3 linked regions of the Anolis sagrei genome follow. The protein of the gene in region 3 purifies or fractionates together with the protein of the main gene of each other region. This does not show direct contact. Links are inferred from orthologs where the notes say so. Each region holds a gene or a part of one and is shown on either strand. Other genes may lie near its edges. The genes, in order: MAFF, HMMR and BACH1.

What was found.
Region 1: the proteins of BACH1 (region 3) and MAFF purify together in Homo sapiens (affinity purification with mass spectrometry; 3 studies listed by BioGRID and IntAct, counting the BioPlex papers as one, with this or other methods). This does not show direct contact. The link is inferred for Anolis sagrei from reciprocal best matches to the Homo sapiens genes BACH1 and MAFF.
Region 2: the proteins of BACH1 (region 3) and HMMR purify together in Homo sapiens (affinity purification with mass spectrometry; 6 studies listed by BioGRID and IntAct, counting the BioPlex papers as one, with this or other methods). This does not show direct contact. The link is inferred for Anolis sagrei from reciprocal best matches to the Homo sapiens genes BACH1 and HMMR.

Annotation. Positions count from the first base shown.
Region 1 is NC_090025.1:164,302,841-164,310,940, forward strand, and holds the start of MAFF (transcription factor MafF), read right to left. Parts: upstream 3,099-8,100; 5' UTR 3,015-3,098; intron 1-3,014. UniProt on the Homo sapiens protein: Since they lack a putative transactivation domain, the small Mafs behave as transcriptional repressors when they dimerize among themselves.
Region 2 is NC_090022.1:109,445,680-109,452,980, reverse strand, and holds the start of HMMR (hyaluronan mediated motility receptor), read left to right. Parts: upstream 1-4,280; 5' UTR 4,281-4,372; coding exon 4,373-4,418; intron 4,419-6,629; exon of another isoform or gene 6,630-6,644; coding exon of another isoform or gene 6,645-6,672; intron 6,673-7,301. UniProt on the Homo sapiens protein: Receptor for hyaluronic acid (HA). Involved in cell motility. When hyaluronan binds to HMMR, the phosphorylation of a number of proteins, including PTK2/FAK1 occurs.
Region 3 is NC_090023.1:68,169,055-68,176,552, reverse strand, and holds the start of BACH1 (transcription regulator protein BACH1), read right to left. Parts: upstream 3,081-7,498; 5' UTR 2,932-3,080; intron 1-2,931. UniProt on the Homo sapiens protein: Transcriptional regulator that acts as a repressor or activator, depending on the context. Binds to NF-E2 DNA binding sites. Plays important roles in coordinating transcription activation and repression by MAFK.

The sequences.
Region 1 (8,100 bases), on a different chromosome or scaffold from region 3:
AACATCTTGAAAGGCACTAGGTCAATGCGTAAACAACACAATGACTTAAATAGCAGGTGCTATTGCAGAAGAAGCACCTCTGGGTGACCTGGACAGGTGATACATGTATTACACATGAAACAGGCAAAAACAACCAAATGCTCCAAGATTTCCAGCACGTTTTGGCCTAAAGGGATTATTTTTGTTGTTGCTGTTCATGCCTTCTAGTCATTTGCAATTTATAGTGACCCAAAGGCACCCTATCACAGTTTTATTGGCAAGATTGGTTTAGAAGGGTTTGCTGTCTCCGTCCTGTTGAGGCTGCATCTCGCTCTGGCACCACGAGATGCAGAGCTCACCTTAAAAAATGGGGCTACAACGTGGAGTCCGTGACATGCGAGTGTGGAGAAGAGCAAAGCACAGACCACCTACTACAATGCAACCTGAGCCCTGCCACATGCACAATGGAGGACCTTCTCACAGCGACACCAGAGGCACTCCAAGTGACCAGTTTCTGGTCAAAGGACATTTAGTATGATGCCAAATTTTTAACTTTGTGGTTTTTCTACACAGTGTACCATCAATCTGCTTCTGATACAATAAATAAAAATCTATACTGGCGTCAATGCAGTTTCACACCTTGTTAACTGTCATAGCTCAAACTACAGACCCTGGGATGCACAACAGAAGTTGGCTGTGTGTAGCTACAAGTCCCAGGATTCCATAGCATTTCACCATGGCAGTTAATGTAGTGTCAAACTGCATTAATTCTACAGTGTAGAGGCGCCCTAAGACTCAACAAAATGGGTTTCTACACGCTACTAGGGATTTGAATCCTGGTCTCCAACTAAACCACAATATCATGCTGGATTCCTTCCTGAACCCCAACTATGACAATTAGTTATGACTCCAAAACAAAGAAACTAGTGGCCCATCCAATTTGCTTCCAGAGAGAAAAATTTGGACCCCCAGGACTTTAGACATTAAGTGTGGCTTTTTAAAACACAGTAGACTCTCGGTTAACCAAAATTCAAGTAACCAGAGATCTTAAACAACTGGCAAAAAAATCAAAGAAATAATAAATTTAATATGTATATATTTTTGCCTGAAATTTTATTTTTAGTTGAGATAAATTTGCTTTAAATTGCTGCATTTCATTAATAATATCAGGTCAAGACAAGGGTTTATGGTATAGTACGTATTATTTTTATTTATAATAGCAAATCCCAAGCAACTAGAGAATCCATTTATCCGGCTTCTATCAATCCCCGTAAGCACCTGTTAACTGAGGATGCATCTATATATTGTACAATTAGTGCAGTTTGATACCTTTTTATCTGCCATGGCTTAATGTTATGTAATAATAATAATAATAATAATAATAATATACATCACACAGTCCTAGACGCTTGGGAAGTTTGACTTGTGATTTTGTGATACGAAATCCAGCATATAGATCTCGTTTGCTGTGCCATACTGTGATTTTGTGTCAGTAAAATAATAATAATAATAATAATAATAATAATAAATACTTTCTTTATGAAATAAAGGGATCTGAAGCTGTTAGGAATGGTGGGAGTTGGAGTCCAAAACACCTGGAGGGCCCAAGTTGGCCTATGTATGTGCTATCTCGACCTACTAATTTGCATATGGTTTCTGATTGGCCAGTCTCAAAATTCTAACATTTTTAAGCAGCTGAAGGGGAAAATAAAGTGTTCTGAGGCTGCTAGGATTGCTGGAAGTTGTAGTCCAAAACACCTTGAGGACCCAAGTTGACCCATGCATAAGCTACCTCGACCTACTAATTTGTATATAGTTTCTGATTGGCCAGTCTCAACATTCTGACATTCTTAAGCGGCTGAAGGGGAAAATAAAGGGGTCTGAGTCTGTTAGGAATAGTGGGAGTTGTAGTCCAAAACACCTGGAGGGCCCAAGTTGGCTCATGCATGAGCTATTTCGACCTACTAATTTGTATATGGTTTCTGATTGGCCAGTCTCAACATTCTGACATTCTTAAGCGGCTGAAGGGGAAAATAATGGGGTCTGAGGCTGTTAGGAATAGTGGGAGTTGGTAGTCCAAAACACCTGGAGGGCCCAAATTTGTTTGGGCCTGATATAGATCCATTCTTTGGGCAGAAATAGATCCTGTGTGAAGGCATTTCCCTATTGGGTTCCCCCTCCCATTAAAGGAGGGATGGATGTCAGAACCCAAGAGAGGGAAGGAAGGGAAACCCAAATGCCATAATCAAAGCCCTCCTGACAGATGCTCGTCTGAGAATCCTTTAGACCAGTGGTTCTCAACCTGTGGGTCCCCAGATGTTTTGGCCTTCAACTCCCAGAAATCCTAACAGCCTGTAAACTGGCTGGGATTTCTGGGAGTTGAAGGCCAAAACATCTGGGGACCCACAGATTGAGAACCACTGCTTTAGACCAGGCATGGGCAAACGGTGTTTTGGACTCCAACTCCCACCATTCCTCACAGCCTCAGGCCCTTTCCTTTCCCCCCTCAGCCGCTAACCTTATAAGCCCCCCCATTAAACCCCAGTTTGAAACTGGAGCCAGCTAGGACTCCATGTGACCCAGGCCTCAACACGTGCACCCACATGGTGAACAGGAGCCATGAGTAACTCCTCTGTTATTATGCGATTTCCTGCTCTATTTTTATGTTTGTTTGTGAATGCAGCACCCTCGAGACACCAGTGGGGAAAGGCTGGAGGGAAAGGGAACCGAGTGGATTTTGGGAAGATCCAAGGAAACAACAATAAGCAACAACAATCTAAATAAATACATCTTATTTCAAAACGCCCCGGATTGGAACAAGGGAAGGAAACCACCCCCAGCCACTCCTCAAAACACAAGACATTTTCTCGCCTCTCTCTGCCATCCTGATCCAACCAAAGGGCAGAAATATTATTTTTAGATATTTTCCAGGCTCTCTCTTGCTCTCCTCATGGTCTAGCAAAAGGCATTGGGGTTAAAAGTCCCTCCTGCTGTAACTTTCCTTCCCTTCCAGAGTGACAAACCAATCTACTCACTTCTTTTGTTGACTTGTCCTCCTCCTCCTTCCTCGTTGCCCTCCTCTGCCTCCTTTTCCCCCTTCTGGGCTCTCCTGGTTTGTTTCTGTAAATAAATAACAACCAAAAAACCCCAAAAATCGCGAAGTGGATGTTTTCCCCGCGACGAGAAAGGGCTGAGCTGGGCTGCGCGCTGAGCGATCTGCTGAGTTGTAATATGAGTTTCCTGGAATTACTCACTCACAGGATTCTTTTCATTCATAAAAACACAGTCATGCGATGACATCATTCTTTCCCCTCCCTCCCCATCTTAGTGAAGGGCACGGGCGGAGCAGAGGGCAAAGGCAGGCGCCATCTTGGAGCCGGGCATGGGGGTTCTTAAAGGGACACGCACCTCGAGGTTGTGCGGCTGGGGCTGGTATTGCTTCCCATCTTCAGCACCATCCACACAACTGAATAAAATCCCACATTATCTGCTTTGAACTGGGATATAAGGCAGTGTGGACAGTTTGACACTACTTCAATCGCTATGGCTCATGAGGATTGTAGCTTGGTAAAGGAATGGCACTTTTTTGGCAGAGACAGCTTAAAACCTTGTAAAACTACAGCTTCCATGCTTTTGTAGCATTGAGGCATGGTTGTTAAAGTGGTGACAAATTGGGTTAATTCTACAGCTTAAGGAGCTGGGCACGTTTAGCCTGAAGAAGAGAAGGCTGAGAGGGGATATGATAGCCATGTATAAATATGTGAGAGGAAGCCACAGGGAGGAGGGAGCAAGCTTGTTTTCTGCTTCCTTGGAGACTAGGACGCGGAACAATGGCTTCAAACTACAAGAGAGGAGATTCCATCTGAACATTAGGAAGAACTTCCTGACTGTGAGAGCCGTTCAGCAGTGGAACTCTCTGCCCCGGAGTGTGGTGGAGGCTCCTTCTTTGGAAGCTTTTAAGCAGAGGCTGGATGGCCATCTGTCAGGGGTGATTTGAATGCAATATTCCTGCTTCTTGGCAGGGGGTTGGACTGGATGGCCCTTGAGGTCTCTTCCAACTCTTTGATTCTATGATTCTACAGTGTAGATGCACCCAGAGACGGCCCTAGGTAATTTTCAACAGGAAGCAAACAGTATTTTGCCCCCCCCCCCCCCCCCAACCAATCACTGATATATATTTTCTGTTCGTCGTGGGAGTTCTGTGTGCCATATTTGGTTCAATTCCATCATTGGTGGAGTTCAGAATGCTCTTTGATTGTAGGTGAACTATACATCCCAGTAACTACAACTCGCATATGTCAAGGTCTATTTTCCCCCAAGAGCACCTCAAGAGCGCCCCTGGGCAAAATCAGCTATGCTGCAAATGCTTACTTTGCATAATGGGTTGAGCCGCCCCTGGATGCACCTTCAATCTTAAACTGCTGTACTTGCAACAACAGTTTAAAAACGTAGTTTGGTGAGTCACCAAACTCTTCAGTAGAGAAGCCTAAGGCCCTTGTGAAACTACATTTCTCAGGATTCCGTAGCATTGAACCATGGCAGTTAAAGTGGTGTCAAACTGTATTAATTCTACAATGGAGATGCATCCATAGTTCAAAATGACACACATAATATAAATAAAAGGCATGTTTAATGTAAGTTCTAGGCATGTAATTCTGGTTACTGGGCACTGACCCAAAATGGCATGTGGATGTTGCTCTTCTGGAACATTTACATGCCCAAGCTTTGATAAGCAATAAGGAAAAGGAAGTTTAAGTCCCATGTTCTTGCTGTTCCCAAGAACTTGGTATATGAATTATATTGTCAAGATTGAAGTGGCATGTAAACAGTACATCAAAGGAAGGGCGAAAGAAACTGCATATTTGCATAAAATTTGCACATTCAAAAGCATAAATATTTACATAGGTGGACCACAGTGGGGAGAAATGGTGAGTAGGTGACTTATGTACTTGCTGTCCAGATGTTAGTTGCCGGTGCGCAATTTCGGGGCTCTGCTGGCTGCCCCTGGCTAACAAATGCACACCTTGTAGCTGGACTGCATCTGCTCTGTAGAATTAATGCAGCCTGACACTACTTTACAAGGCCTTTAGCCTTCTCTGCAAAATAATGTCACCAAATCCCAGGACTCCATAGCATTGAGCTCTGATAGTTAAGTGGTGTCTACCTGCATTAGCTCTATAGCAGGCATGGACAAACTTCGGCCCTCCAGGTGTTTTGGAAATAAGTATTTTTATCCACACACACACACACACGTAATTTTATTATAATAAATATGTACTACAAACACATTTACTAACAATTACAATTGAGACATACTTAATTTTGCAGTATTTACAATGTTTGCAATATTTACATTTTCAAAATCATTTGTTACAAAACCAGTTACAATATTTCTTCACATTTTTTCTTTCTTCTTTGGTTTCAATTACAAATACAGTTATAGTTACAAACACAATTGCAAATTCACACATATATATCTCAATTAATATATATCAAACTTTTCAAAAATGTTGAAGTCCAGATGTGTTGGACTTCAACTCCCACAATTCCTTACAGCTGGTCCAAAACACCCGGAGGGCCGAAGTTTGCCCATGCCTGCTCTGTAGTATAAAGACACTCTTGTGTGTGTCATATATATATATATATATATATATATTCAACATATCCTAGATGTTTTGGATTCCAGGTCCCAAAACCTCTAACCACCGTGCAAAGCAATAAGGATGATAGGCACTGTAGTCCCAAACACCTCCAGGGCCAATCGTTCCACACCCGTAAAATAAAGAGCACCTTCAAAGGGAAGAGTATTCATTGTCTTCCATAAAGTAGGACACATAACTACCATCATCAAAATAAAGACGTCATTCACAGTGCATGTATTTATTTACTTTTCATATTTATGTCCCAGATTATGTGTGGGCAATCCCATCACTTTCATGAACTTTTCTTAGGCAAGGAATACTCAGAGATGGTTTTGCCACTTCCTTCCTGAAATATCGCATACAGCACCTAGTATTAGTTAATGGTCTCCCATCCAAGTACTAACCAGGACTAAGCCTGCTTAGCTTCCAAGATCAGATGGGATCCGGCACCTTTAGGGTTGTAGATGATATGTCTGAGGAGGAAACTAACAAAGCCACCTCCAAGTATTCCTTGCTTAGGAAAATCCTATAAAATGCATGGGGTTGCCAGAAATCTACAGGTGACACAAAGTGTCCAAGGACATATTAGGGTGCATCTAAACTAGACATGGGCAAACGTGGGCCCTTCAGGTGTTTTGGACTTCAACTCCCACAATTCCTAACAGCCAGTAGTCTGTTAGGAAATGTGGGAGTTGAAGTCCAAAACACCTGGAGGGCCCAAGTTTGCCTATGTCTGATCTACCTATAGAATTAATGCAGTTTGACCCCACTTTACTTGCCATGATTCAATGCTGTGGAATCCTGGGTTTTGTAGTTTGGTGAAGCTCCAGCGCTATTCCTCAGGAAAGGCTGAAAGACCACGTAAAACTACAACTCCTAGTGCTCCATAACATTTAAAGTGTTGTCAAAGTGGATTAATTATACAGTGTAGATGTACCCCAATATAGTTCTCAGAGACTCCTTGAGCAACAGTCCACTATTTAGATTCAAGAATGGCATCAGTGGCAATCTTGGTAGACATCTAGTCTCCCATACTTTTGCACCCAGGTCTGGACAGCCCTAGAAAATACCTGGTTTGAAACTGGCCTAGCTGGTTCTCTTGACTGATACTAAGCAGGCCAGGTAGTGTGTGTGTGTGTGTGTGTGTGTGTGTGTGTGTATATATATATATATATATATATATATATATATATATATATCCTCAAAGCTCAGCTTCCCTCTTACACAATAGCAACATGCCTTCTCAAATGGGACTGCAGTGTGGAAATGAGTAGTAGCTTAACTAGCTGGTCTAAAAAGAGCCACAGTTACAGCCCTGCTGAGCTTTACCTGCTGCCTGAGGCAGGTGCATTAAAAACAGAAGCTATAATCTGAGCCCTAATGACTATGGTTATTAGGATTAAAATAGTCGTGCCACTTGTAAACACAAGTTTTTTAAAAAAAAGAACGAGGCTGATACAGGTGTAAACAGATGGCTGACGTATATTGTGTTTCCGTGTTCAAGTTGCCTATTTTTCTTAGGAAAGCAATATTCAGGGACGGTTTTGCCAGTTCCTTCCTCTGAAATATAGCCCATAGCAACTGGTACTTGTTGGTGGTCTCCCATGCAAATACTATCCAGGGCTGGCCCTGATTAGCTTCTAAGATCAGATCCAATCTGATATTTTTTATTGTATCTAGAGTGAACCAAGGGTACAGTTGTAATGTATTTTAAAAAACACAAATTTTAAAAACTTGGCATTATATTAAATGTCCTTTGACCAGTAGCTGGTGTTGCTATAAGATGGTCCTCCATTGTGCATGTGGCAGGGCTCAAGTTGCATTGTAGTAGGTTTGCCCCTTCCACACTTGCATGTTGTGGACTCCGCTTTGTGGCCTAATTTCTTAAGGTTGGCTCTGCATGTCATGGTACTGGAGCACAATCTGTTCAGCACCTTCCAAGTCGCCCAGTCTTCCATGTGCCCAGGGAGGAGTCTTTCATTTGGTATCAGCCATGGATTGAGGTTCTGGGTTTTAGGCTGCCACTTTTGGATTCTTGCTTGCTGAGGTGTTCTTGCGAGTGTCTCTGTAGATCTTAGAAATCTATTACTTGATTTAGCGCATTGGCGTGCTGGCATTTTAGCCTGCCACTTTTAGACTATCGCTTCCAGATCAAACTTTGTACAATCCAATCTGGTGCCTTTAGGGGTATTTCGTGTGTTAAGGGCAATCTAGTGGTACACCTACTCTGTCAAATTAATGCAGTTTGATACTACTTTAACTGCCTTGGCTCAATGCTATGGACTTGGGAGTCTTGGGAGTTGTAGCTGGGCAAGGTCTTTAGTCACCTCCGCCGATCAGTGCTGCTGCTTCACTCAAACTACGACTTCCAGGAATCCATAGAACTTAAGGTGGTGTCAAACTCCTTGGCAGAGAAGATCGACGGCCCTTCCACACAGCCCTATATCCCAGACTATCAAAGCAGGAAATTCCACATTGT
Region 2 (7,301 bases), on a different chromosome or scaffold from region 3:
AAACTCATAGCAACCCAGTGATTCTGGCCATGAAAACCTCCATCAACACTGAGAATCAATATAGTTCACCACCATGGTTCAAAACTGTGGAACAAATAGGACATTTAAAATGTATTATTGCATTTTTATGGTGTGCCTTGAAATCATTTCCAACTTATGGCAACCCTATAAGGGGAGTTCCTTATCAAAATTTAGCCAAATGGGTTTTCCCGTTGCCTTATCTTAGTCCTGCAGTGTAAAACTAATGTTTGACCCACCACTTTTAACTGCCATGGCTCAATACTATAGCCATATGGGAGCTGTAGTTTTAATAATGATAATAATAATAATAATAATTTTATTTCTTACCGCCCTCTCTACAAAATACACTACAAAATACACACACTAAATGTACCTCCATAAAAGCTACACACCAAAACTTATCTGTACAAAATACATATTAAAATACACAAAGCAGATCAAATAGGACACTTAAAAGTCATGCTTAAAGACTGTCTGTGTAGGCCTGCCTGAAGAGATAGGTCTACATGGTTTTTAAATTCTGACAGCCGATCTAGCTGTCAGAGCTCTAGCTGCAGGTTGTCCATAGTCTTTGGTGCGGCTGATGAAAAAGTTCTCTGAGTGGTGGTTGCCAGTCGGGTCCTGGCAGGCTGAAGCAGATGCCCCCCAGAAGACTAAAGTGTGTGGGGTGGGTTGCATGTGAGAAGGCAATCCTTTAATAACCTGGACCAAAACCATGTAGGGCTTTAAAGGTCAAAACCAAACACTTTGCACTTCGCCTTGGGGTGGCTGATAAAAGGTCCTCTGGGTGTTGGTTGCCAGTTGGGTTCTGGTTGGTTTTACAAGGTCTTTAGCCTTCTCTGGCACGGAGTGCCTTGCAAAATTCCAAATCCGGGGACTCCATGTGGTTGAGCCATGGTAGTTAGAGTGACACTTTAGTGGTGTCACACTACATTTAATCCTGTACTGTAGATCCACCCCCAAAACAGAGGTGTCAGTCATGAACCCATTGAATGAATATTTATTTATTTATTTATTTACAGTATTTATAGCCCGTCTTTCTCAGCCATATGGCAACTTAAGGCGGGTTACAGAATGGCACAATTCGCTGTCACATTCACATTAAGTAGAAACAACTGGTTCTTCTCTTGAAGTATAAAACAAAGTCTTTGTGTGAGTAAATGTCCTGTTTTTTATTACATATGAGTAGACTCCAGAAGTCACATGAATCGACTCCAACCTGCGACCGGTATTGACTCACAAGAGCCTTCGTCAGGCGGTTGGGTCTACAAACAACACATATCATGAATACACACATACAATTGAACAATTTGTTATATCAAGTTTGTAAGAATATATACAGACACTCCACTTACTCAAATTATCACAAAAAGCTCAGCTTTTGAGGTGAGAAATTCACCAACAGTCTTCTGGAGGGGTGGATCCTAAGGAGACATAGACAGTGGCTAATAGGGCTGGGCGGTTTCGTTTTGTAATTTCGTAATTCGTTAAAAATTCGTTTTTTTATAACGAAGCGATTTTGAACCATTCAGGAGCATCTAAAAAACGAAACGAATTTTTCAATTCGTTTCGTAATTGCTTCGTATTCGTTTCGTATTCGTTTCGAAATCTTTTCGAAATTGTTTCGTTATTATTTCCACATGTCTGGGGCAAGTTTTATAGCTGTTGTTTGTTTAATCAGTGGAAAAAAATTATAAATATCACACCAACAGTCAACAACAGAGGGAGAGGAAAGCTTCAAAAGTTCCCCCTGTCCCATATGGAGGTTTTTTAGCGTATTGCGCAGTCGCGTCCGCCATTAACGAATCGATTCGTATTCGTTTCAAAATCGTTTCGTAATTATTTCGTAATTTACGAAATTTCATAAATATAAAAAAAAAATTAAGGAAAATTTCGGAATTAATTTAAAAATCGAAACGCAAAAACCCCCTAAAAACGAATCGAGTTTAGAAACAAATTTTTCCGTGGTTGCCCAGCCCTAGTGGCTAAAGGTAATATTACATTGTAACGTGAATTATAAACTATACAGTGGAGCTGACACAACAGAGGAGTAGTGTGTTCCCTGGGCACCGCTCCTGTTAGTAACTTGGCTGCCAGTCTTTGGCCATTTGAAGCTTCCGAACAGTGTGTGTGTGTGTGTCTTGAGGAGTGTCAAAGCAAACTCGACCTGCTTAGACATACATTTTAACACAAGCCCTCATTTGAAAATATATATATCTATATAAATAAAAATGTAATGTTAGTTTGTGGGATTGACATAATGCAAAAACCACCGGATGAATTGACACCAAATTTGGACACAATACGCCTATCATTCCAATTAGTGACCATCACTCATAAAAATACTGAAAAACACAGCGGAAGGGACTTAAAAAGCCAAAAAAGCAAATAGACACTACAGTGAATATGCAAAAATGACTCCCCTGGCAAACAAAACAATAGCATATCCACACTCTATTTTGGACAACTGCTCCGAGCTTCCAGCATCTCCTAGACCAGGCCCTTTAGGAGAGGAGGATGATCCAAATGCACTGCTTTCAAGATGCAAGCTTTCTTCTCCTTGGATCTCTTTGAGAGTATCCCAATCCCTACATATTTCCAATTTCCTATGAAACTCCCGGCAATCCTCCAGATAGATAGATTAGATAACATAGATCAATCGATCAAGAGGACTGCTGGGAGTTGCAGTCCAAGAATAGGTAGAGAAGGAAGAAAGGGAGAAGGGAAGAGGAAGAGAAGGAAGGAAGGAGAGAGAAAAAGAAAAAAAGGGAAGGAAGGAGAGAAAGAGAAAGGAGAGAAAGAGGGAGGGAAGATTGTTCACAACAACGCGTGGCAAGTACAGCTAGTATATTTATATAAATAAAAATGTAATGTTCGTTTGTGGGATTAACATAATGCAAAAAACACTGGACAAAGTGCTGCGAAATTTAGCCACAAGACACCTACTCACCCAAGGAGTGACCATCACTTAAAAAATTGATTTTGTCAATTTATAGTTAACCTACAATCCAGGCCCATAGCCAGGATTTCGTTTGGGGGGGGGGGCTGATTTTTTTCAGGGGGGGTTGGGGGGGGCTGAGTTTCAGGGGGGGGGGGTGTGATTCTGAGTGAAAGAGGGTCTAGCCTAGCAAACCTTTTGTATCATTACCCCAATACTTCCATGCATATGGGATATATTGAGTATGGTGATCAGATCATGATATGAATAAACATAACAGTTTAAATAATGCAGCAGTAAGGCCTTTTCGTGAACCACCATGAGAATTTCAGGCTGAAGCCCCTCAAGCCCCCCCCCCCCCCCTTCTACATGCCTGCTACAATCAAAGAGCTTTCTAAACTTCACCAACGATAGCATTGAACTAAACGCGGCACACTCCCATGACCAACAGAAAACATTGGAAGGGTTTGGTGGCATGGACCTTGAGTTTCGGAGTTGCAGTTCACCTATATCCAGAGAGCACTGTGGACTCAAACAATGATGAATCTAGACCAAACTTGGCACGAATACTCAAGATGCCCAAATGTGAACACTGACGGAGTTTGGGGAAAATAACATTGACATTTGGGAGCTGTAGTTGCTGGGATTTATAGTTCACCCACAATCAAAGAGCATTCTGAACCCACAGATTTGGGGCAAACATTCCACACAGAACCCCCATGACCAACAGAAAATACTTAAGGCCATGCAGTCCAACTCCCTTCACCAGGGAAAGAAAACATAATCAAAGCCCTCCTGACAAAGAGCCATACAGCCATAGATATAGAGAGATAGATTGATAGATATGGTTCACACACACAGAGACTGTATAGATTTGAAAGGGACCCCTAAAGAAGGACAATTTGCATATTCCAGAGTAGGCAAACCAGACAATCTCCACATCAACACTGACAAAGAAACAGCAAGAAATATTGTTTACCCACAAGCAGAAAGAAAATACATATTTTAGAAACCAACACTTTCTCATTACTTTATTTTCCATATCAACAGACTGGGCCACAGCAACGCGTGGCAAGGGTTAAATGAGGGTTCTTGTTAAAATTAATTTCTAAGCAGGTGGAGGTTGATTGGACACCCCTCAAGGCGGCACCCTACTCCCTCCCTCTTCTAGGCAAAAACAACACACGGCACGCCCCGAAACCTCACGCCAAGCTGGAGAAGAGGGTACCGCCTCACTTCCGCAGTTCCCTATTGCGCATGCTCCAGGGCTAACCTCTGATTTGCGGAGCGTGCCGCCGCTTGAGCTTTCGGATTGGTTGGTTGGGCCCACTTAAGAGAAGGAGGCGGCAGTGTGGCTTTTTGAAATCCGTTCTCTCTGCTCCGCGGGCCCCACCTGGCTGGCCTGGCCCCGGCATGTCCTTCCCCAGGGCCCCGCTCCGCCGCTTCAACGAGGCTCCCGGTAAGCCAGCGGGGCTTCTGTTCCCTCGCCTTCAGAAGGGGAAACGCTGGGCAAGACGTTGCTGCCGGGTGCGTCTACGCTGCAAAATTAAGTCAGTTTAACATCACTTGAACGCTATGGAAAGGCACCAGCACTCTTTGGCAGAGAAGCGTGAAGGCCTTGTGCAACCATAACTCCCAGGGTTCCGTAGCATTGAGCCCATGGCCGTTCAAGTGGTGTCAAACTGCATTAATGCTACAGTGTAGCAGACCCACCTGCGGTCTCTGTAGGTTTGTGTCCCGCCCAAGCCATATAACACTGCCTGAAATAGTGGCCTCGCTTGAGGGGTGAGTCTTACCCTGCTTTCCTCCTAATACAGAAATAGATACAGATATTATTATTATTCTACATTTATACCCCGCCCATCTCACCTCAGTAGGGGACTCAGGGCGGCTTACAATCCATGGCATACAATGCCACATTACACATATAATAATAAACAAAACATATCAGTTTAAACAATTAACATATCAATTCAAGCATACAATAATAAACATGGTATAATAATTTATTTATTTATTTATTTATTTTATTTGCTTTATAATGTAAATATAAATACAATAAAAAGCTTAGAAGTAATTCAAATAGAAATACGATAAAAAAGCTTAAAAGTAAACATACAATAATTTAAATATAAATACCAAAAAAGCTTAAAAGTAAAAGTAATATGCCGGGTGTTTCAAAGCAAGTATATTTCACCCTCTTACAATTACACAACAAAGTTACAAACGGTTTAATGAATTATTATTTACTAACTCCACTGCTGTTGTTGGATGATTCAGCTGTATGCCATTTTGAGAATAGCTGACCTTGCCATCTTGCAAATGACAGGCTTGGGGCAGTCAGTGCGCTGGGAAAAGCATCAAGCCGTCATTATTTGAAACTCTGTGCCCAGCCCTTTGAAGGGGTAAGGTAATATGTTTGTGACACTATTTTCCCTTGCCACTGTAAATAATAGATTTTGGTCTTGAAAGTAAATCCCAGTGTTGTGTCCAACTCTGGGGGTTGGTGCTCATCTCCATTTCTAAGCCGAAAAGGCAGCATTGTCCCTCCAAGGTCAGCATGACTGCCTGGAGCACTGTTACCATTTTCCAAAATACCACCATGCCTAAAAAAGGCAATAGTGAGACCTATGTTGAAGAAGTCCCTAGAATCCATGGTTTTGAATAACTACTGGCTAATTTCTAATCTTAACAAACACAAATCTTCTACAAGTCGTAGTACATAAATCACAAAGGAAAATGTTTTTTTCCAGCTTATATAATACAATATTAAATGTATAACCAACTTATATGATGCAGCATTGAGCAATATACCATGAACAAAAAACTTGTTTATAATATAATAATAATAATAATAATAATAATACTATTTGTACCCCGCTACCATCTCCCCAAGGGACTCAGTGTGGCTTACATGAGGCAAAGCCCACAGCACATCAATAAACAAAGGCAATAACAAATAATCAATACAAAACAGTTAAAATAAAACTCAAAAACAAAAAATACACAATAAACAATAACAATAACATACAGCATTTAAAAACCTATGGCCGGGTCAAATGTAATAATTAAAATTTAAAATGCTGGGCATTAACAAGGTAGGGTAAACTAGGATAGGGTTTTCAAAGAAAGTTGAGGGCGCGCAGACAATCCTAAATCAATATTAAAGTGCATTTGAGGACATATTGCTTAGAGTTTTCCTTATTCTGGAAGGCACACTGGAACAACCATGTTTTCAGGCTCCTCCTAAACACAGCCAGCGCTGGGGCATGTCTAATGTCCTTAAAGAGTGAATTCCAGAGTCGAACGACCACCACCGAGAAGGCCCTCTCCCTCGTCCCTACCAATCATGCCTGCGAAGGAGGTGGGAGTGTGAGCAGGGCCTCTCCAGATGATCGAAGAGATCGTGTGGGTTCGTACACAGTGATTTTACATCAGTAACAAGAGTAGAGTCTTTCTTGCTGTAAAGCAGACTTCTCTTAAGGGCATAAGATCCCTTACTTTAGAGAAAGATACTCTTGAGTGGAGTTTCCAGTCCCTTGTAAGAGGATATCCATGTAGAAGATTTCCAGACCGGTTTCGACTAACGTCTTCCTCAGGTGGAGAAATGTGAAGAGTACAATGAAGTGGACATCAAGTTCTCAAAAATAATAATTCTTCCTCGGGTGGATAAGAATACAATGAAATGGTGGATCTAAAGATAATATACACAGGTGGCTAGAACATGTCCCAAAAGGGATAAATATTTCCAAATGTTGTTAACATGTAACGCGTATATACCATAATTTCTAATCTTCCCTTCCTGGGCAAAGTTCTAGAGTGAGTGACGGCTTCTCGGCTCCAGGAATTCTTGGGTGATACTGATTATCTTGATTCATCGCAGTCCGGTTTTAGGCCTGGCTATGGTACGGAGACGGCTTTGGCCGCCTTGGTGGATGACCTCCACAGAGAGCTAGCCAGGAGGAGTGTGCTCTTGATGATTCTCCTGGACATCTCAGTGGCTTTTGATACCATTTACCATGTTATCCTTCTAGGGCAACTCTCCGGAAAGGGTCTTGGGGGGCATTACTTTGCAGTGGCTCCGTACCTTCTTGGAGGATTGCATCCAGTTGGTGAAGCTGGGGGACACCTGCTCAGACAACTGGCCATTGACTTGTGGGGTCCCACAAGGTTATATTCTATCTCCCATGCTTTTAAATATCTACATGAAACCACTGGGTGAGGTCATCCAGAGGTTTGGTGTTCAATGCCATCTGTACGCAGAGGACACTCAATTCTACTACTCCTTTCCACCAAATTCCAAGGAAGGCACCTGGATCCTGAAACAGTGCCTGGCAGCTGT
Region 3 (7,498 bases):
TCAACACCAAGCTACACAGAACTTTTAGAAATAGCCTAAGCACTTCCAAAGTGTACACTCTAATCTCTATCTATATAACTATTTCTTTTCTTAAACCTGAGAGGCACTTCCAAAGCATCTTGATCCTTATGAGTCTTTCAAAAATGTTCAAAACTTTCAGACCTCACAGCAGAACAGAATCTTCTGCTAGAATTAAAAACCTACTCACTGGTAGCAAGCTGAATATGTTCTAATGAATTTAATGGCCTTGTGAAGAAAGACAATGGAGGTGTAGCAGATCAGGGTTTAAGATATACTGTATGCTCTATAAGACACAATGCATGTCCCAATGAGGAAGAGCTGGGCGTTACACACATCACTTTACTTTTTATATATCAGACTATGCCAATAAAGTTACCATTATAGCAAACAAAACTACAGCAATCAAATGGTATCCTTTATTACAAAACCTTTGAAGTTTTCATTGTAGTCATAAAACTAAAGTTGAGACAAGCCTAAATTTTTTTCATTAGATTTTAAATTCAAGCTTTATTTCCAATTTTATCCATTTGCCTTGAAATGGGAGATGTTTAGCTTGCAGTATAATTTGGCAGCATCCAGAGAGGCAAAAGTTCACATCAAGGGAGTAAGGGATCAGAAATTCAGTTGATTATTTAGCTATTTTGACAGAGCTAGAACTTTCTGTCACTCTGGATAGAAAAATAGAGAAGGCAGAATGAGGGAAAGGGGCACAATGGATTGCTTGGGATGTTATTTTGCCATTTTTCCTCATAAACTTACAACCTTGGTCTATCGTTGCCTGTTATATTGAGTTTGCAAATGCCTGCTCAAAAAGCCAGGTTTAAACTTTTTTGCGAAATGTTAAGAGGGAGGGGGCCGATCTAATATCCCTAGGAAGGGCATTCCACAGCCATATACCCACTTGCCTTGTTTCTAACAAACTTCACAACCTCTGAGGATGCCTGTCATACTACGTCATCACACTAGCAAATGAATCCACATAAAAACCGGTTTCTGCCTCCTACAGAATTCTGGGGTTTGTAGTTTAGTGAAGCTGTTAAAGGCTCCTCCCTAAACCCCAGAATTCTGCAGGAGGCAGCAACCAGATTTAAAGTGAATTCATTCTCTAGTGTGATGAGGTGATGTGGGTGAAACATCAGGAGAGAATGCTTTTGGAACATGGCCATACTGCCTAGAAAACTCACAGCAACCCAGTGATTCCAGCCATGAAAGATTTCGACAACACTTGTGAAAAAGCTTTTAAAACTCCACGTTTCATACATGACTTCATGCAAATAATGCTGTTAATGATACTATAATAGATGTCAAGGTAATATAAGCAAAACGACATAAGCAAGATCTCATTTTTAAAAAGTAGGTTGAACTACCACTCAGGCAACAGGATTTCCTGTAGGTTTACCACAACAACATCTGTTTCTCACAAAACTCTTTTCAGAACCAATATCAGCAATGAGTCTTATGTCACTGTGTGTGTTATTTGGCATAAACTTTTCCAGCTGGCACAAAATTATACACCAAAAGAATCTTATGAGTCCTTAAAATCTTTGCTGCATTTGCTGCTATAACCTCAAAGGCCGTCGATTCCCCCAAACAAGTCTCTTTAATAGCAATCTAGCCCTACAACGAGATGCTACAACAGACTGGACTAGCACTGAAACTCTATTAGTCATAATAAACTGGTGATAATTTAACAATTTTTAAAATTGTAATTATTTTTAAAAATGACTGATTTTTCAGCTGTTTACATTGGCTTTGGAAGGAAGGCAGATTGTGAAATGAGTAATTATTATTACTCATTCCCCAGAACCTTTAAGGCAGGCCAGGGCAAACTTGAGCTCTCCAGGTGTTTTGGACTCTTAAGCAGCTGAGAGGGAAAAGGAAAGGGCCTCAGGCTATTAGGAATTATGGGAGTTGAAGTCCAAACACCTCGAGGGCCAAAGTTTGCCCAGGCCTGCTTTAAGGGATAACTTTAGCGTGTAGGGAGTATCTATTGTAGCTCTAATGAGGTTCAATTATCCTTTTAACTGCCATGGCTGTGGAATTATGGGATCTGTAGTTTGTTGGGGCAGCAGGACTCTTGGGGCCCTTCCACACAGCCCTATAACCAAGGATATCAAGGCGGAATAACCCATAATATCTGGTTTGAACTGGAATTTATGTATTTATTTATTTACGACATTTATATGCTGCTCTTCTAACCCCAAAGAGGACTCAGAGCGGCTTACAAGTTTTATATATATATATATATATATATATGCACAATATATTATATTATTAGCATAGTACAGTATCAGTATTATATATCACTATATTGTACTATACCATTACATTGTAATATTATTAGTAATATTACATGCAATATGAAATATATAATTATAATATCATATATTATTAGTATTACATTGTACTACATTATAAATATTACATATATATACAATATATTATATTTATATATATATATATATATATATACATGGCAGTGTGGACTCAGATAACCCAGTTCAAAGCAGATGTTGTGGGTTATTCTGCCTTGATGTTCTGGCTGTGTGGAGGGGCCCTTGGTCAGAGAAGGCTAAAAACCTGGTAAAGCTATCTATATTTTCCATGAGCCATGGCAGTGAAGCCATTAATTCTTCACTGTAGATACACCCTTGGATATCCCACAACGAAAACCACCCCACACGTCCTCATTATCGTGCCCAATATACGCCCCCTTTCACCCCAGTCCTGGACTGGGACTTCCCTTCCCAAAGCAAGGAGGCAACAAGCGCAGGCTCAGGGACTCCAGTCCTGGGATGTGCGCATGCGCAATGGGACTCTCCTCCCCTCCCCTCCTCCCTCCCCGCTCCTGCTCCCTCAAGACCCGGCTCCCACGGCGCGAGAGGCCTCTTCGCTCGCCCGCCCACTCACCCGCCTCGGGCCCATAAGCGCGCGGCCCTTCCCGGGAACGCCGGCCATGCAACCTCCTTCCCTCAGGGCCAGCTCGACCGCGGATCCTGCCAGCGCCGCGAACACCCGACCCACCACAGTCAGGTGACCACCTCAGAACCGCCTCCGCCCCCTGCGCGCTCATTGGGCGCCGGATTCCGATGACGTCCACTTTCTCCCTCTTTCCTCCCTACGCGGCGCCTTCCCCTTCTGTTTTGATGCGCATGCGTCGCTCTCGCGCTCTCTTCTTCTTACCCCCCCCCCCCCCCGCACGTTTTCTCAGGTAATAGAGCGGCGCGTCGTCATTGCTCCGAAGGTCTCCCCGCGAGCGTCCCTTCGCCAGTGGCGCGCGCTTGATTCAAGGTTCTCGCGCCCAAAGGGAGGTTTGCCCAGCATGAGGCGTTTCCCGCGCCTCAGTGTCGGGCTGTACAAACACATCAAAACGATCAGCCAGGCTTTGAAGCTGCAAGGTCATCAAATGCTAATCATGGTCGCCAATTACAACATAATAATATAATAATTATAATATATTAATAACATAATATATAAATGTTTGTATATATATATATATATATATATACATACACATACATACTAGCTGTACCCGCCACACGTTGCTGTGACCAACCTTCCCTCCCTCTTCCTCTTCTTTCCTTCCCTCTTTCTTTCCCCTTTTTTTCTCTCATTCCTTCTCTCCTTCCTCCCTCCCTTCCTCCCACCTTTTCCTTCCTTTTCTCTTTCTCCCCTTTCTTCCTTCTCTACCTATTCTTGGACTGCAACTCCCAGCAGTCCTCCTGATCCATCTAGCCACCTACCTATCTCTATGTAATCTATCTGGAGGATTGCTGGGAGTTGCAGTCCAGGAATAGGAAATTGGAGATATGCAGGGATTGGGATGCTCTCGAAGAAATGTAAGGAGAAGAAAGCTTGCACCTTGGAATTAGTGCATTTGGATCATCCTCCTCTCCTAAAGGGTCTGGTCAAGGGGATGCTGGGAGCTGTAATCCAGAAGAGGGTGTGGATATGCTATTATATGTTTTGTTTGCTGGGGAGTCGTTTGTGTGCATGTGCTATTGCATATTTTTGCTTTTTTTGGCTTTTAAGTTGCTTCCGCTATGTTTTCCAGTGTTTTTATGAGTGATGGTCACTCGTTGGCCTCATAAGTGTATTGTGCCCAAATTTGGTGTCAATGCATCCAGTGGTTTTTGAGTTATGTTAATCCCACGAACGAACATTATCTATCCATCTATCTATCTATCTATACACACACACACTTGGCTCTTCAAGCAAGCTTTTGGAAATGCAGTGGAATAGTTAACATGAAACTATGAATAATGAACATGGGTGATTGTATGATAGCTGGGTCCCCCTGCTATGAGCGCTACACAGATGCCGCAAAGGGAAGGGATTGCATGGTGGAGAGAGGAACCGGAGTGAGAGTGGGGAGAGCGAGACACTGAGGGCGGGAATATACTTTATAATATAATAATAACACTTTATTTGTACCCCGCTACCATCTCCCCAAGGGACTTGGTGCGACTTACATGAGGCCAAGCCCGCAATACATCAATAAACAGAACATCAATAAAATAAACATCAATAAACAATCAATGCAATATAAATCATAATCACATAAACAAAATAGACAATAAGCAATCAACAGTAACATATAAACATTTAAAACCAAAGGCCGGGCCAAATGTGATAAATTTAAATTAAAAAAATAGTGCTTATGTGAACCAGGTAGGATATAATTGGGATAGAAATACCTTTCTGACCGCATCTTGGCCTACGAGCCCACGAGGACCTTGAGATCGTCTGGGGAGGCCCTTCTCTCGATCCCGCCTGCATCACAGGCACGGCTGGCGGGGACGAGGGAGAGGGCCTTCTCGGTGGTGGCCCCCCGGCTGTGGAACACTCTCCCGGCACACATCAGACAGGCGCCCTCCCTCATGTCCTTTCGAAAAAGCCTTAAGACCTGGCTGTTCGAGAGGGCATTTAATTAAGTGGTAAGCAACAACATTACGGTAATGAGAACTGGAATGGTATAAGGAAGATGAGACTGGCTATGATTCTACTAAGAGACGAAGCGGATTTTTATGTAGTTTGTATTTGTCGTATAGTTATATGTTGTTGATACTGGCCTTTGTAACTGTCTTTTTATGTGTACTGTACACCGCCATGAGTCGCCCGTAAGGGCTGAGAATGGCGGTTAATAAGTGCATCAAATAAATAAATAAATAAATAAATAGGATTTTTAGAGAGAATGAGGGAATGCAGTCAATCCTAAAGCAGTAGTAAAGTGCATTTTGAGGACATAATGCTGAGGGTTTTCCTTATTCTGGGAAGGCACACTGGAACAACCACATTTTCAAGCTCCTCCTAAAGACTGCCAGAGATGGGGCATGTCTGATGTCTCTGGGAAGTGAGTTCCAGAGTCGGGGGGCCACCACCGAGAAGGCCCTTTCCCTCGGCCCCACCAATCGCTCCTGCGAAAGAGGCGGGAGCGTGATCAGGGCCTCTCCAGATGATCGAAGAGATCGTGTGGGTTCGTATACAGAAATGTGGCCATTTCAGTTGCATTTGAAGGAAGGATAGTAAGGAGGGGAGGGTAAGGGTTGGGATTAGGGTTAGGGTGAGGGTAAGGGTTACATTTTAGGGTTAGGGGTTAGTGTTAGAGTTAAGTATTATCTGTTATTATCTGTGTCTGACCTGGCTTACATTACCTCAGTCTCTCACTGCCCCCCCCCCCCCCCCCGGTCTCAGTAACGTGTTCCATTCTGTGTTGCAGAAACAGCGTAATGCTTGTAGCAGGGGGACCCAGCTATCATACAACCACCTGAACATGGAATAGCTAGAAGATGCTATTGGAAAATGATTTTAACAGGACAACACTGGTGACTATATGATTTAATGATTGTAATGGTTTTTATATGATTATGCTAATTGTTTTAATCGTATTTTTATGACTGTATGGCATCGAATGGTTGCCAATCTGTAACCCGCCTTAGGGCTGAGAAAGGTGGCCTATAAATGTAGTAAATAAATATAATAAAATATAATATAATAATAACATAATAATATATAAATGTCATAAATAAATAATAAAAATAATAAAGCTTCATTTATATACCACCTTATCTCCCCAAGAGGACTCAGGGTGGTTTCCAACATAAGGCAAAACATTCATTTGCCAGAAAGGAAAACCATACAAACAAATTAAAATAAACATCATAAAACAAACGTAAAATTCTGCTAAAACAAACACAAAAATTTAAAAACCTTTATAACTCTATCAGACAAGTTCAAAATACCATTGGGCCAGAATTGCAACATGGGCATGGCCCACTATGAAACGCCTGGGCAAGGGCTAATGCAATAGAGTATCATGGGCCAGGGAAGTGGATAAAGTGCAGAGCCTACAGACTAATCATTCTCAAAAACCAGCCAGGTTTTGAGGTCCCTATGGAAGGAGGACAGTGTGGGAGCTTGCCTAATCTCTTTGGGGAGGGAGTTCCAAAGTCAGGGGGCCACCACTGAGAAGGCCCTGGCAGATCTTCTAGCCCGTGCAGGTTCATAGGTGGAGATGCGATCATGAAGAGAGGCAGAGCCCAAACATTAACACTTGCCTCAAGCCGACAAGAGTTCTTTCTCCCACCCAGAACTTTCCACAGACATATACACTCCACTTGCCTAGTTTCCAACAGAAACCTCAACCTCTGTTTTTGTGAAATTATATTATATTAGTGTAATTATGTTTTATTTAAGTTTTATTTAAGTAGCTGTATTTCGTATTACTTTAACCTTAATTATTTTCTGGTAATTAGTTTATTACTGTCCATTTTGCATTCCTGATGATGTGTGATTTTAAATTATGGCATTGAATATTTGCCTTTTTATATGTATATAAACTGCCCTTTGAGGAGAGAGGATGGTCTAGAAATTATTATTATTATTATTATTATTATTATTATTATTTCCCAAATTTCTCATAAAGCTTTCCATTACCAGGATTGGTTTCATTCACAAAATTTGGCGTAGAAAACGAAGCTTGTGCTTCTCTGGCTTTCTTCCAGTTTCCATTAGTGAGAATTTATCAGTTTATATTGCTTTGACAGAAATACGCTGCTACTGGTAGAAAACAAATATGCTTGAGCTAATTAGGAGCAATATTAATAATTCAGCTGTTTTTCTTGGAGTGACATTTGATTCTGCTGTAATTAGTGTATTTATTTCTAACCCCTTTCCGTGAAAAACCAAAATATTCTCAGTTGGATCCAAAACTTAGCTCTGGGTTTATGCCAGTTATATTTCTAAATATCGGAAGTGGTTTTGTATATTTTTATTTTCTAACTGAATAGAGGAAAAAATAAGGTATTTCCATTAGTTTCCGTGCTTCAACCGCCATCTATCCCATCCTCTCTCAAATTATACATAGCGTTGGCAAGTGGGGTTTATATATCTGTTAAATGTCCAGGATGGGAGAAAGAACTCTTATCTGTTTGAGGCAAGTGTCAATGTTGCAATTGGCCAGCTTGATTAACAAACA